Canis lupus familiaris: one gene and its partners. The protein of the gene in region 1 interacts with the protein of each later gene in a pairwise test. Links are inferred from orthologs where the notes say so. Each region holds a gene or a part of one and is shown in the gene's direction. Other genes may lie near its edges.

Evidence for each region.
Region 2: the proteins of EHD3 (region 1) and MICALL1 interact in binary tests that used the Homo sapiens proteins (3 or more experiments, as listed by UniProt). The link is inferred for Canis lupus familiaris from reciprocal best matches to the Homo sapiens genes EHD3 and MICALL1.
Region 3: the proteins of EHD3 (region 1) and RBSN interact in binary tests that used the Homo sapiens proteins (3 or more experiments, as listed by UniProt). The link is inferred for Canis lupus familiaris from reciprocal best matches to the Homo sapiens genes EHD3 and RBSN.

The regions. Positions count from the first base shown.
Region 1 is NC_049238.1:24,855,612-24,860,518, forward strand, and holds the start of EHD3 (EH domain-containing protein 3), read left to right. Parts: upstream 1-1,748; 5' UTR 1,749-1,815; coding exon 1,816-2,042; intron 2,043-2,889; exon of another isoform or gene 2,890-2,946; intron 2,947-4,907. UniProt on the Homo sapiens protein: ATP- and membrane-binding protein that controls membrane reorganization/tubulation upon ATP hydrolysis. In vitro causes tubulation of endocytic membranes. Binding to phosphatidic acid induces its membrane tubulation activity.
Region 2 is NC_049231.1:27,740,185-27,745,225, reverse strand, and holds the start of MICALL1 (MICAL-like protein 1), read left to right. Parts: upstream 1-1,967; 5' UTR 1,968-1,981; coding exon 1,982-2,127; intron 2,128-2,540; exon of another isoform or gene 2,541-2,638; intron 2,639-5,041. UniProt on the Homo sapiens protein: Lipid-binding protein with higher affinity for phosphatidic acid, a lipid enriched in recycling endosome membranes. On endosome membranes, acts as a downstream effector of Rab proteins recruiting cytosolic proteins to regulate membrane tubulation.
Region 3 is NC_049241.1:5,268,509-5,273,591, reverse strand, and holds the start of RBSN (rabenosyn-5), read left to right. Parts: upstream 1-2,009; 5' UTR 2,010-2,309; intron 2,310-5,083. UniProt on the Homo sapiens protein: Rab4/Rab5 effector protein acting in early endocytic membrane fusion and membrane trafficking of recycling endosomes. Required for endosome fusion either homotypically or with clathrin coated vesicles.

The DNA.
Region 1 (4,907 bases):
TTAGCCCAGGCCCCTGCACATGCTGAGCGCTTAGTTACTGTTGACAATTATTAGTAATATCAGTATTATTGGCTCCTTATCCCCCATGTGATGTTTGCTCTGGCAAGCAAAGCCTTTTGGACTGGCCTCACTCACTCCCTTCCACCCTCCTGAACCCTACACTCTAGCTATAGAAACTGTTTACTCTGACTTCTTCCATTTTTCTCAACCTGTGCAAATGCCCTGTGGACAGCCTGGGATGACTTTCCTGCTTTTCTGGAGATTCATCATTTAAGATCTAGCATGTAGTCCTGCTTTCTGGGAAGCCTTGCTCAGATTATACAGACCAGGGCAGCCTGGGTGGCTCAGTGGTTTAAGCGCCGCCTTCAGCCCAGGGCGTGATCCTGGAGACCTGGGATCGAGTTCCACATCAGGCTCCCTGCATGGAGCCTGCTTCTCCCTCTGCCTGTGTCTCTGCTTCTCTCTCTCTCTCTCTCTCTCTCTGTGTCTCTCATGAATAAATAAATAAAATATACATTTAAAAAAATGTTATACAGACCAAATGAATGCCTCCTCCTCTGTGCACCCATGGCCCTCTGCTCCTGTCTCCTCCTTACAGCTCCCGGAGAATGGGGCTCCCGGAAGGGAGAGCCTATGTGTGCTCATCTTTGTGATTAACTTTGTATCCACAGTCACCATAATTGCGTCTGCCCTGTAATACAGGCTCACCACTTATGGGAGTTTTGCTTGCTTAGTTTTGTTTTACTGGAAGAGATAAACAGATGAATGAATGAATGAATGGGAATTCATTCTTTTGACTTCACCCTAGATCTAACAAAAAGTTTGGGCAGTGGCCTTTCTGGTCATTTTTGTGTAACCTGATATTGGACTCTTCTGTGCCCCAAGAAAAAGTCTCCCCAATACCAGGTACCTGTCCTCCTGAGGAATTGGCCTCAGGCACTAAAGGAAAGGCTGTCTTAATAGCAGGGAGAGGGCGGAGGGGGTCAGCTCCGTCTTCACAGCCGTCCCTGAGAGGGCGCTGTTCCCAAGTCAACCCTCCAGAGGCCGGAGCTGAAATACCGGAGCGTTCCCCCGGGGCTCAGCATCCCTCCCTTCCCGGCTGCGGTCGCCGGGTCCCCAGCGGAGCGCCTGCCCACACACATGGCGGCGCCCTGCTCAGCTTCTCGGCGCCGGCACCGACAGGCCGGGCTGGCCTTGCCAGTACTCGGGGACTTCCTCCGCGAGCCCGCTTCCTGCACGGCTGGCATTTAAACCGGCGCCTGGGGCTGCGGGCTGCTGCTGCTGCGGAGCTGTGCCCGGGCTGCGCAGCGCCGCCGAGCCGCCGAGCATCCCCCCGCGCCGAGCCGCCGAGCATCCCCCCGCGCCGAGCCGCCGAGCATCCCCCCGCGCCGAGCCGCCGAGCATCCCCCCGCGCCGGCCGCCGAGCATCCCCTCGCGGCGCCGGGGCCAGGGCGGGACAGGTCGGCGGGGGTGCGGCGGCGCAGATCGGGGACCCGACATCGCACCCCGGCACCTGGCAGTTTAATTGCAGGTTTGACTTTAATTTCCCGGATCGCAGCCCTTCTGCCCGGCGCAGATTATCTCTCCTCCGGGCCCCGCCCGGGTCGCCGCTGGCGGCGGGAGGCGGGCCGGGCCGCGGGAAGGCGCTCAGCAGGGACCCCCCGCCCGCGCCCGGGCCATGGTGCGGCCGAGCCCGGCGCTGGGGTGAGGCGGCCGCGCGGCTCGGAGCGGCGGGCGGGCGCTGCGGGGCCCCTGCCCCCGGGAGCCGAGGGCGCGGACGCGGGGCTGCACGCCCGGGGGGCTGCGGGGGCCGCGATGTTCAGCTGGCTGGGTTCCGACGACCGCCGGCGGAAAGACCCCGAGGTCTTCCAGACGGTGAGCGAGGGGCTCAAGAAGCTCTACAAGACCAAGCTGCTGCCCCTGGAAGAGCATTACCGCTTCCATGAGTTTCACTCGCCCGCCCTGGAGGATGCGGACTTCGACAACAAGCCCATGGTCCTGCTGGTGGGCCAGTACTCCACGGGGAAGACCACCTTCATCAGGTGAGCCGCCCCGGCCCTGGCCGCCTGCCCGCCTCCCCGCCCGGCGCCTGGGTCCTCCGGCGCTCCTGGCGGCCCCCTGCCCGGGACGAACGGGAAGCCTTCCTTCCCTGGAGGGCGCTGAAGAAAGTCTGGTGTTTGTGTGCGCAGAGCTGACCCCACCGTTTCACTGCTGGTCCCCCACCCCGCCCTACCTACTGCCTCTCTGCTCCCGAGGTCAGTTTGAAGTGTTCAAGTTCAGAGCCCTCTGCATTCCCCCTCATTTTATGGATGATGAAACTGAGGCCTGGACGGCACAGTGAGAAAACTGGTCACAAGAGCACCTTATTGCTGGCTGGGGGTGCCTCACACCCTCACTTATTAGGGGCATGCCCTTCATGGCCTGGACCACCTCCCCTGCCTTTTAAAGGGCTCAGCCACTCACGTGGGGGGCTCTGCAGCTGCAGCTGAGGAGGTGGACTGGGGACTTAGCTCCTGCTGGGGCAGTGCCACTTGTCCTTTTTTATCAGCTTCCCTCTCTGAGCAGAGCTCCTTGTGTAGATCTCTTGGAGACTGGACAGGAACGTATCAGACGCAGAATGCTTTTTTCTCTTCCCCTGTTTGATCTTAATGGCTCAGTAATAACATTAACGTCTTTTAGAGGTGGAAGAGATGTGGGCAGATTGTCTCATCCAGTCCCTTGACTTGGCAGGTGAGATGACCCAGGCTTAGAGGGGTTAAGTGACTGTCCAAAGCCCCGTAACTGAGTAGGAGGCCCACCTGGGCTGCTGGTCTTAGATGCATGGGCGGAGATGCTTGGCTAAATGCCCGTGACTCTGAGGGTGAGTCATCTATTCCCTTCAATTCCAGAATCCTAGGCCTGAGGGGTCCTCAAGAAGGCAGCCTGTCCACCCGGCACTCGGAGAAGGTCCGTACCTTATCCACCAGAGTGATGACCATCTTTCCTATCTTTGCAGGACAGGCTTCTCTCCAGACCTCAGTCCATACAACCTGCAAGGCCAGGCAGTTTCCTCTGGCCTCATTTACAGCCATTGCCAAGCTGCTGCAGGTGCTTTGTGGCCCTCTGTCGAGTCAGACTCCTGTTGTGTGGCAAAGGGTGTGGTGGCCAAAATCAGTGATGCTCAGCTCCTGCAGAAGGTTTCAAAGCAGGGTTCCCATTCAAATCAAATCTTGTTTCCATCCCAGGCAAATATTGACCAGCCGAGCACCTGCACCATGCAAAGCACTGTGCTTTGTTTGGCAAGAGCAGAAAAGTTAACAGTCTGGTTACTAATTTTCTAGATACTAATTTTCTCTAGTGCTAAGCTTATACACAAGCCTTCTGGGAGCAGGGCTTGCGCCATGCTAACGTGTCATGTCTGAACAGAACACCAGATCGGGTTTCCCTTTGCGGGGTGGACAGCCTTGGGCTCAGCAGCTTTGAAGGCTGAGTGATTTCTAAAGAAGTTAGGTACCCGGGGTGGGGGGTGGGGAGCTGTTGGCTTTTGGATACCTTCTGTTGTCAGAACTGCAAGGACTCTTAGCAGTGAATCTAATCCATTGCTTTCTTAGCTTTTTAAAAGGTCAGTATATCCTTTGAAAATCTAACAAAAGCTGTGGCCCTATCTTTAGAAAAAATGCACAGATACATACACAGAAATGTACAAATTTACATATAATCTCACGGGGAGAACCTCTGATGGAACCCACTTCCCTTAGTTCAGTAAGCACCTATTGCTGCCCAAGGCACTTCAGAGCTCCTTAGGCTCTGCACAAGATTTCCTTTGTCATCCGTGTCCTCCTCCGTCTGGCCTGGTTTGTGCCCCACGGGAAGGTACGGGCCCTCCTTGGCCCTCTGGACACACCTTGGTTATAACCCCTGGTACATAATGTGGAGCTTCTCCTTCCAGTAGCACCAGAACTTATAACTGTGCCTTAGCTCCCTGGGGCCCTCACCTGGGGTCTCAGCTCCGGGAGGCTCCCAATAGATGTTTACAGAATGGAAGGGAAGATGGGGAAAGGCGAGTGTCTCCAGGGACAGGATCCTGGAGCGGCAGACAGGTTTAAGTGCTTCTTGACTGAGACACTCTCCTTGCTTTGCCTGAGTCATGCTGGCTGTTAACTGGGTCCTAAGAGAGTGGCAGAGTCAAGTCGCCATAGATTATTCCTTATCTGAGGGAGACAGGAAGGCCGGGAGAGGCAGATCCCTCGCTTTCTTAACCTCCAAGTACAAGACTTCTCCCTCCCCAGTCATGTAGTAACTGAATTTAGCTCAGTGCATCAAAAGCCATCCCCCTCGAGGGAGAGTCCACCCCGAGGGTGGGAGGGGTTGTAGCACAGGCAAGCCCTCCAAAACCAAATTACATATTTTCCTCCTTTTCATTAAACCCACTAAGCAGCTATTTTTTTTCCATCAGAAAATGTAGACCAGAATACCTTAGAAGAGGAAGAAAAAAAAATCACTCACAAGCCCACGACTTAGGGGAAAACATTTTTAAATATAAATACATATATACTTATCTTGCCGGTATATTTAGCTATTTTGTAACACAATTGCCATAATGTAATCCTGCATGCTAATGTATTTCCCTTAGAGAAGGAGCATTTTTAAATGTCACTTCAAAAATCTTTGTAAGCATTATTTTGAAGAGCCGCATGATATTTTGCTGTGTGTAATTGCAATTATTCATTAACCAGTCTGCTTCTTTTGAATGTTTGAGGTTGTCTCTAATTTTTCAGTTGTGGAACCACCCTCACTACCTCTATGCGTAATATTTTTCTACATATTGGACTGCTTTCTCAGAGATTCCCAGAAGTGAAATCACTAGGCCAAAGGTTGTACAGTTTCATCATGCCTTTAAGTTTTTCTGGTTTTTTGATTTTGGTGCT
Region 2 (5,041 bases), on another chromosome or scaffold:
AAAGGAACATTCCTGGAGTTGCTTTCCCACAGGGGGCAGGGTAGGAGGTGGCAAGCACAGGCTGGTGTGGACCAAGCGTCCAAGGGGGATCACTAGGCAGCCTGGCACTTACAGCAGCCACTTCCTAGGTGGCCCCAGAGAGAGTCCACACTCTGGACCAAGAACACGTTGTCTAACCTTGAACAGATCTAAGATGTGAGGCTGGTCCTGGCTGGGGTCATAATGGCATTCTAGGCTGGGGCTTAATGGGTGTTTGAGGAGGTGGGAATCCCCAAGGGGGCTTCTCTCCTCCACAATACACCCAAAAGGCCCCAGGTGAGAAGCCAGGTATAAAATGTTTTCAATCCATTTTGTCACACATTTACCAGGTTACCAGGTAACAATAATTACAATTTACAAGTGATTGAAAGGTCGGGTGTGTTATATCTGAATCCTCTCAGCCACTTTGTAAAGCTAGAATTATTTCTATTTTCTTTACTTGAGAATAATTAACATGCATTGTTCCATTAGTTCCAGGGGTACAATATACTGATTCAACAATTCTATACCTGACTCAGGAATTATCCCTATTTTTAAGCTATGGAAACAGGTTCGAGGGCGCACAAGATCATACTGCCAAGGGACTGGGGAAAGCCAGGATTCCAGCCTGGGTGGATAGGACTCCCAGAGCCCTGCTCTTCCCAGCCTCCAACAGCTAAGGGGTGACAGCGGTGACTAAGACCCTGCTCCTTCCCTTGGGGGTGGAGCGACAGACCTATCCCAGCTATTATATTGGTCAAAGTGACGTCACCACCATGGCAGCTGAGTGGAAAGCTGATTCATCTGAGGTCAGGAGGGACTTCTGGGGGGAGGAGCCGCTGACCCAGGTCTTGGAGAGGGGAGCAGGAGGCTTGGGGGTTCCAAAGCCCTGAGGCCCAGAGCCCCACCAGACAAGGGCCTGCTTCCTATGGGTTCTGCCCACGGGGCCCCACCCCCCACCACTTCTTGGGGCGGGAGGAGCCGACACAGGGGCCGACACAGGGGGAGCGCACTCCGAAGGACCAGTTGTCAGGCTCAAGACACCACTGAGTGCACACCTGGACTGATGGGGGTGGGGGCTGAAGTCTGGCAGGCAATGGGGGGAGGGGAGGGTGACAGACTGTGGAGGTCAGGGGTGTTTTGGAGGGGTGAGACGGGGTCAGGGAAGCTGGTGGCCATCTGGGGTGCTTTGGGCTCAGCAGGGGCACTGCCTGCCCAACGTTTCAGGCAGGAGGGCTCAGTGGGTTTAGGGAAAGTCGGTGTGGGGGGTCTGCAGGTCCTTAGGCCAAGGAGCGGGAAGAGGGCAGGAGCGGAGAAAGGATTCCAGGTGGGCACCGTGGTGAGGGTCGTCGGGTGGAAGAAGCCCCTCGCGGCCGGCGAGGTCGCAGTGGGTCACAGGGCTCCAGGGGCCGTCCCGGAGTTCTCGGGGGCTCCCGAGGAGGAGCGGCGACCCGGCTCGCCCAGCAAGGGGCTGCGCGGGGTCGGGCCCGCGGGCGGGCGGGGGCGCGTCGGGGGGCGGAGCCGCGGCTGGGTGGGGCGCCAGGACCCCACTCCCCGCGGCGGCGGCGGCGGCGGCGGCGGCGGGCGGGGACCCGGGCCAGCGGGGCGCCCGCGGCCGGCCCACAGCGAGGGGGCGGCGGCGGCGAGCGGGCGGCCGGGCCGGGCCACGCGGGCGGCGGCTGCTCGGGCAGGTCCGGGCAGGGCGGGGCGGGCGGCAGCGAGCGCAGCCGGGACCCCGAGCCCAGCCCGAGCCCAGCCCGAGCGCGGACCCCGCGGCCGCGGCCCCGCCTCCTCCCCGCCCTGCGCCCGCCGCCCGCGGGTCGGCGCCCGCAGCTCGGAGCGGCGCGGCAGTCGGCGCTGGAGCCGCCGCGGGAGCCGCCGCCGGAAGCCGGCCGGAGCCGGGCCGGGGGCTGAAGCCTGGTGCCGGCGGCGCCCGGAGGCGGGCCCGAGCCCCGCGCGGCTCATGGCGGGGCCGCGGGGCGCGCTGCTGGCCTGGTGCCGCCGCCAGTGCGAGGGCTACCGCGGCGTGGACGTCCGCGACCTGAGCAGCTCCTTCCGGGACGGCCTGGCCTTCTGCGCCATCCTGCACCGGCACCGGCCCGACCTGCTGTGAGTGCCCGGGATGCGGCGGGCGGGGGCGCGGGGCGCGGGGGCGCGGGCCCGAGCCGGGGACCCCCGCCCCCCTCAGTGACGCGGAGCCGGGCGGTGGCAGGCGCCGCCCCCCGGGGCCCGCGACGCAGACCCGGGCGCTGGGCCCCCAACGGCTCGCGGGTCCCGAGCGCTCGTCCCCGGGGCCCCTCCCCCACGAGGCCCCGCCCCCGCCCCGGGGCCCCGCGGCCCCGCGGCCCCGCAGCCTGCGCCTCCCCGCTGGCCCCCGCCCCAGGGGCCCCCGCCCCCGCCCCGGCCGCGCCCACAGGGCACTGATTTCCGCCAAAGGGACACCTGGCCCTCCTTGGGGACCCTGCGCCGCTCCCCGCGCCGCTCCCCGCGCCGCAGTGAGGCCCGTCGGCCCGTGAGGGGCCCTGCTCCCTTGTCTCCTTCCCCCGTGCCATCTTGGCTCCAGGGAGGAGACCCTGGGTCAGTAGTGGTTGGATGATACACACCCCGTCTCCCACCCCAGGTAGGACGCAGATCTGCCTCCCAGTGTGTGCCCACAGGCCTGCCGTCCTCACCGGGGCAGGGAGGCTGGGTGAAGACTCCTGAGGTCTGCCTGACACCAGCCACCGCCTGGGCTGCCCGGGGTGTGAGATGGCTCCTTCTTGCCCCCCCCCCCCAGCTGCCCAGTGAGGTTCTCATGGAAAAACTTATTCAGACCCCCAGAGCCGTTGACTTGGGGCTTCTATCTCAGCTCTCTGTGTGTTGGGCCCTGGAACCTCTCCATGTATTCACTCATTCATCAAACGCTGAGTGAACATGAAGCTGAGGCACAGGGTTCCTGGCGCTTCCTGTCTCATCTGCAACTTGAGACCCAGAGACCTCTTCAGGGCCTCTCTTGCCAACAGTGCCCCCGACAGGGCTCCCCGGGCCTGGCAGGGTCTGCAGACTTGGGGTGTCCTGCTGCAGACCTGTGCTCCCTGGGAGGGCCCTGGTGGAGGCGAGAAGGGAGGAGAGGATGGCCTCAAGGATCCGCTGGTACAGATGCATTTGGTTTACTCTGTACCTGTGGTACAATGTCTGGGTGCCAGGTCGGGCCCTGTGTTGGGATGTGGAGGGGAGGATTTGGGGGGAAGTGGCTGCAGAAGCTAAGGAGTTGAGGTGGGCTGCTTCTGCCTCCTGTGGGGCATGTGACAGCCTGGGTGTCAACGGTGGGGTTGATGATAGGGTCTCTGTTACAGAATTGTTGTGAGGATTACAGGAGGTAACGAGCATTTAATTAACATTAGTTATTATATTACACTATGGGGTGTGATGAGTGTGTGTTACTCGTCGTTCTTTCAACAGTATTTATAGTTACTACTCTGTGCTGGGCCCTGCGTGGTAATGGAGATAGCAGGAGCCAGGTGCCTGCTGAGGGAAGGGCGTTCTGGCGGATGGAGGGGGCCACCAGAGCAGAGGCCCTGAGAGGGGAGTGCTGCTGGGGCCCTTAGCACATGGCAGGGAGGATCAGGAGATGCAGCTGGCCCGGAGCACCAGGGCTCCTTGCTGGCTAAGGAGGGTGGATGGAGCCACGTGGAGCTTCGTGGGTTTTAAGCAGGGGAGGGCAGCTCCCCTCCTGAGAAGAGATCCAGGATCATGTATAGACATTCATTTGTGGAGCAGGCCAGTGCCTTGGCTACTGGCCCATTATACAGAAGAAAAACTGAGGCCCAGCTGCCACAGGAGGCATAGGGAGGATCTTCATGAGAGTAAGGGTAGGGTAGGGGCTGAGAGCAAGAATCATCAGAAGACGTTCAAGCTCTTGGAGCTGTGGCCCTTCCTCTGCTAGGGTGTGGGATTTGCCATGCTGGGGGGCCTGGTTCATTGTTTGCCTCCCCTCACCAATCCAGACATCTTTAAGCTCCCTTGAGGACAGAGACCATGTGGGTTTCATTTTTGTGTACTTCATCTCCCTTGGAGCCAAATAGAACTTCCCGGGCTTTTGAAAACTCTCAGAAAATATCTGTGTTACCAAAGCCCAGATGTTGAATTGGGACAGAGATGGGGGTGGGGAAGAAGCTGGAGGAGAAACTAGTATCTCTGGGGCCTTTACAGTCTTCACACTGTTTGTTTATTCATTCAATAAACATTTCTTGAGCACTTACTAAATATCAGGCACTACAGAGGGTGTTGGGAGCACAGGGTGAACAAAAAGTGACCCCAGCCTTCTAGAAACACTGCTGGGGAGACTGAAATTAGCTGCCAAGACAAATTGCTTTGGTCTCATTTGGTCTCCGAACAAGCCTTTGTTGGGGCTGGGCTGGTGACCCCTCACCTGTTCACAGTGTCACAGATCAGGAGGCCAAGCTTTAGAGATATTAGATAACTTGCTTTTGGTCACACTCTTAGGCAGTGGCAAAGCAGAAGGGCTTAGGGACTCAGCTTTGGGGGGAAGGGCGGGAGAAAAGGAAGCAGCCTGGCCAGAGGTGGCAAATGGCTGAGGCTCATACTTAGTCAGCTCCCCTGACCTAGTCCATCCAGCCTTGGGGCACCTCCCTCTGGGGTTCTCAGGCTACCCTTTCCTGCCTCTCCCACTGGTCATCGTACCTGGACTCTGCCTGGAGAAGTTTGGGGCAGGAGAAGGGGGGCGTGCCCCTCACCAAGCCCAGACTCAACCAACCCTCCCCACCAACCTGGGAGGGGGTACTGGAGGTTCCCCCAACTTATAGATGAAGGTCAGTCAGGAAGACGGCCGACCTGCCCAAGGTCACACAGCCAGGCCTGGAAGAGCAGAGCCCGGGACCCTGACTTGGGAGGTGGTGCCGTCTGCTCCGGCCTCTGGGCCCACCATGTGGGCGAGGCAGGGCTGCAGTTTTCAGCCATAGAAGGGCAAGGCTCGGGGCCGGTGTACCCAGGAGGCTGCCGAGCCAGAAGGCTGAGTTTCAGC
Region 3 (5,083 bases), on another chromosome or scaffold:
ACAGCTCTACTGGGAAGACGAGTTTGCTCTCTTAACCGAGACTCAGTACTATGTGACTGCCCCATGATGCCTGTACGGCTCCTTGCTCTGTCCTCTGGGCCTCCAGACCCTGAGACCTTGCTGCAGGGGACCCCTCAGGATGCTTCCTCCAGCTTATTGAGACTGGTGTCTTCATGGCCTTCTACTTGGCCAAGGCATACTCAGCCTGGCTCTCTTATACGGCCCGGCATCTAGGAATGGAATGGAGAGCCAATATGTCTTCAGAGAGCACCTACTGAGCCAAAACTTAGTGAAAAGATTGTTTTCTGGATCTGCCCTAGGTGAAGCCTGAGGAAACCGAAGTGTCCTACACATAGGGCAGCTGGTCTCCAGTGACTAGAACGCCAGGTGCCCCCACCCCAGCTCTGTGCCACTGCTACCTGGATAGCACTGGACATTCTCAGCTAAAGTTGGAGTGGGACACTGGCATCTCTATCTGCGACTCTTCTGTTAAGCCCATTCTTTCTCTTGAAAAATAAAAAGATTTATTTTTATTTTTTTTTAAGATTTTATTTATTTATTCATGAGAGACACAGAGAGAGGCAGAGACACAGGCAGAGGGAGAAGCAGGCTCCACGCAGGAAGTCTGACGTGGGACTTGATCACGGGTCTCCAGGATCACACCCTGGGCCAAAGACCGTGCTAACGGTGCCCCGCACACCGGGCGCTGGTGTTCCCAACCATTTCTCCACTTTCCAAGAGCAGTTCACACAGCTCGAATGCCTAAGATCGCTCTATATTTTAAGAACACAGAAACATTTGAGCATTGTATTTCTCGCATCCCTTCTCGTGAGCGCTAGACTTGTTTCTATTTTAGTCGGATTTTGTTTTGAAACTTTGCTTTCGTATGAACACTCAGCAGAAAAGTACTTACTTCTTGCCAGTTATCTATTAACAAAAAAAAAAAAAAAACACTTTGATTTGTAGTTTTAAAGATTAACCCTCCCAAGTTCTCTTCATAACTGCCTTGACATTTTGGGTTGTTCTGTTCTGTTAATTTTCTTTTGCTTTTTTGTGTTTTTTGTTTGTTTTTACTTTTGCATTTAAGACCATTAAATTTGATTTTGTTTTGCTCGAAAAACAAAAAAAACAAAAACAAAAACAAAAAATAACAAAGACCGTGCTAAACCGCTGAGCCACCCGGGCTGCCCTATTTTTTTATTTTATTTTTAAAAATATTTTGTTTATTTATTTGAGAGAGAGGAGAGAGAGAGAGAATGAGCAGGGGGAAGAGGGAGAGGGAGAAGCAGACTCCCTGGTGAGCAGGGAGCCTGATGCAGGACTCAGTCCCAGGATCCTGGGACCATGACCTAAGCCAAAGGCAGACGCTTAACCAACTGAGCCACCCAGACACCCCGAAAGATTTATTTTTAAAAGTAAAAAAAAAAAAAAAAGGAGGGGGGGCAGCCCAGGTGGCTCAGCGGTTTAGCACCACCTTCAGCCCAGAGCGTGATTCTGGAGGCCCAGGATCGAGTCCCATGTCAGCTCCCTGCATGGACCCTACTTCTCCCTCTGCCTGTGTCTCTGCCTCTCTCTCTCTGTCTCTCATGAATAAATAAATAAAAAATCTTTAAAAAAAAAAAGGTCCAAAAGATCCAGAGGTGGTAATTTTTACTAGTTTCTTGTAGGTTCCCCTAGAGATATTCTAAGCATTTTCCACATACTTATGCTGGTCTTGACTTGGGAGTTGTCCCATCGCCTTTCTTGATATGCAACCCTGGAAGGCACCCTCTATTCCCTGATCCCATGTACCCTGGGGTGACTCCTCCCTGCTCCCTCCCTCTCCTGGCTCTGCACAAAATGATTTTCTGTAGCATATGGGTTTAAATTTTAACAGTCTGGCCTTTATTTGTGTATTAAAGAAAACAGACTAGTACATCCAGTCCATTATTTCACATCTTCTTAGAATGAAGTTAAAATTTAAAAGTGAGTAGTATTCAAAGTAAGTAACAGGTGGTTTATAGAGAGGGCAAAATTGCACAGGAGGCACACAGACCACCCAGTGGACTCAAGGACTATGCCCAGAAGTGTTGCTGTCGCTTATAAAAAGTGGGTGGGGGTCAGGAAAGTGAGACCCCTGCTTAATGCCTGGAAAGAGCCCACCCAGTGGTTGGTAGATGAAGCCAGAGGCTCTAGGCCTGTGATCCTCAATCTTGCTGAGCATCAGAATCACATGGAGAATGTCAAAGACCCCGAGGTCCAGGTCTGTTCCAGATCAATGGGAAGATGTGAGACAAGTATCTGAATTCTTTAAGTACAACCAGGGACAGGTGAGTGATTCCCCAGAGCTCCCCTGAGCCTCTGCCACCTGTCTCTCCAGAAGATTGATGCTCCAGGGCCCCTGTTGGTGGGACAAGCCCGCATGCCCCCTCTGGTGGGATTTACAGGACTCAGGGTCTCAGCTAAGTTGGGGGAAATGCTGGTCGGCTTACATAAGCTCTGCTCCCGGCTTTATATTAACAGTTAGCAAAAGGAAGCTATTTAAAGCAGCGGCTGGGAGGCATGTGGGAGGCCACTGGGTCTGGCACATGGGCTCAGGACGCAGGCAGAAGATGATGCCCCAAATTCTGATCCTCAAAGTGCCACCCAGGCTAAACAAAAATAGGAGCAGAAAGCGGTGGCCAGACAGCACGGGGGCGTGCAGGAGGCTCTAATTAAAATGCTTAAGGCGCTTGGTGATATTCTTATTTCTCATCCCCATGCTCCCGTCTTCTGTTCATGAAGCTGAAGGTCATTCATAATTCATTAATTCAGCAAATAACTCCCGGGCCAGGTCCTATTCAGGGCTCTGGGGGATAATAACACAAATAATAGCTCACATGTATTGCATACTGACTTTTTAAAAAAGATTTATTTATTTACTGATGAGAGACACAGAAAGAGAGGCAGAGACACAGGCAGAGGGAGAAGCAGGTTCCTCACAGGGAGCCTGACGTTGTATTCGATCCCTGGTCTCCAGGATCACACCCTGAGCCAAAAGCAGATGCTAGACTGCTGAGCCACTCAGGCATCTCTGCATACTGACTTTGTGCCAGAGACTCTTCTAGGTACTTGGCATATAGTAACTCCCTGGATCTTCACACAATTACAGGTGAAGAAACTAATGCACGGAGGGGCTAAAGAACGTGCTCAAATTTGGGGCACCTGGGTTGCTCAGTGGTTGAGCCTTCAGCTCAGGTCTCTCATGAATAAATAAAATCTTAAAAAAAAAAAAAGAACTTGCTCAAATTCCACAAGTAGGGTGTGGCTGGTACATGATTAAGACAGGAGCAGCAACCCCCTTTAAAAGATTTTATTTATTTGACAGAGAGAGATCATGAGCAGGGGGGAGGAGCAGACTCCTCACTGAGCAGGATGGGGGGGCTCGATCCCGGGACCCTGAGATCATGACCTGAGCCAAAGGCAGATGCTTAACTGACTGAGCCACCCAGGCACCACTGAAATGAGTTCTAGAGGTTGATGAGGAGTTAGCCAGGCTCAGAGGGGTAGGAGAGAAGGGAAGGGCACTTCAGGCAGAGGGAATGGCATATGCAAAGGTGAGGAAGCAGGAAAACAGCACAGCTTATGCCAGAAGTAAAAAGCAGTCTGATACGAATGTGGGAAGGATACTCTTCCCCGCTTTAAAACTGTCTGGAAAGGACCAGGAGTGGCACCCTGCAGGAGCCTGGGAAGTGTGCCTGACATCCCGAATTCAAGGCTCTGTTTCAAGAACTAACCAGTGTGTTTCCAGGTCAAGGGAGGGGAGACCTGGGTGTTCTGTGTGTGGATCCAGGGAGGAGGGGACCCATGGGGGCAGGGCATGGCTGGCCTTTGCCCTGTTTCTCACATCAGCTTGTTCAAGAGGAAGAACTGGTTTTCCAGATAACCTGCCCCCATCTTGGGCTCTGCCCGGGAACATACCCCCAGTGAGGAAAAGGGAATGTGAGAGAGCCTTTTAGTCTGAAGGTCCTGGACTTCTGGGCTGGTTCCCTAAGCCACTTACCACCTGGGAACCTCAGCTTCCTCGTGAGTGAATTGGTGATGTTTTTGTAGGGTCATCATCATACGTAGGATAAAGCAAGGTGTCTGTGCTAGATGAAGCAAAGATGGGCATAGTCTCTATCCTTCATGGACTGAGTTATATAACTTCAAAATTTGTATGTTGCACTTCTAACCTCTGCTACCCCAGAATGTGACCATATTTGGAGATGGGTCTTTAAAGAAGTGATTAAGTTAAAATGAGGTCATTACAGGAACTCAAACCCATGCAGTGTCTTTAGGAGGAGAGGAAATTAGGATACAGACATGCACAGAGGGAAGACTGTGTGAAGACACAGAGAGGGGGAAGCCATCAGCAAGCCAAGGATGGGGTTCTCAGAGGAAATCAGTCCTGCCAGCAATTTGATCTTGGATTCCAGCCTCCAGAACTGTGAGGAAACAAAATTCTGTTGTTTAAGTCACCCAGTCTGTTTGTGATGGCAGCCTATGAATGGATACCTACCCCTTTGTGGTTCCTTCTCGAAAGAGATGGGTCCATTTCTCCATCCTTGGATCTAGGCCAGTCCTATGACTTGCTTTGGCCAACAGAAGGCTAAAAGACAGCAGAAGTGACAATGTGACAGTTCTGAGCTTTAGCCTACGGAGACCTTGCATGCTTCTGCTTGTTCTCTCTCTCTCTCTCTTTTTTTAAAGATTTTATTTATTTGTGAGAGACAACACAGAGAGAGGCAGATACACAGGCAGAGGGAGAAGCAGGCTCCCTGCAGGGAGCCCGATGCAGGACTCGATCCCAGGATCCTGGGATCACAGCCTGAGCCAAAGTCAGATGCTCAACCACTGAGCCACCCAGACATCCTTGCTTGCTCTCTTTTTGTGAACAAGCCCGAGCTGGCCTGATAGAAGCTACAAGACCCCATGGAGCAGAACTCATTTAACCCAGTCAAAGCTGTTCTAGACAAATCAATCCCCAAATATGTGAGAGAGCTCTGGCAAGATCCTCAGGGCTGCATACCTGGGCAGTGGCTGATCTCAGATGTAGGAGAGGGTCCAACCAAGACCGGAAGAA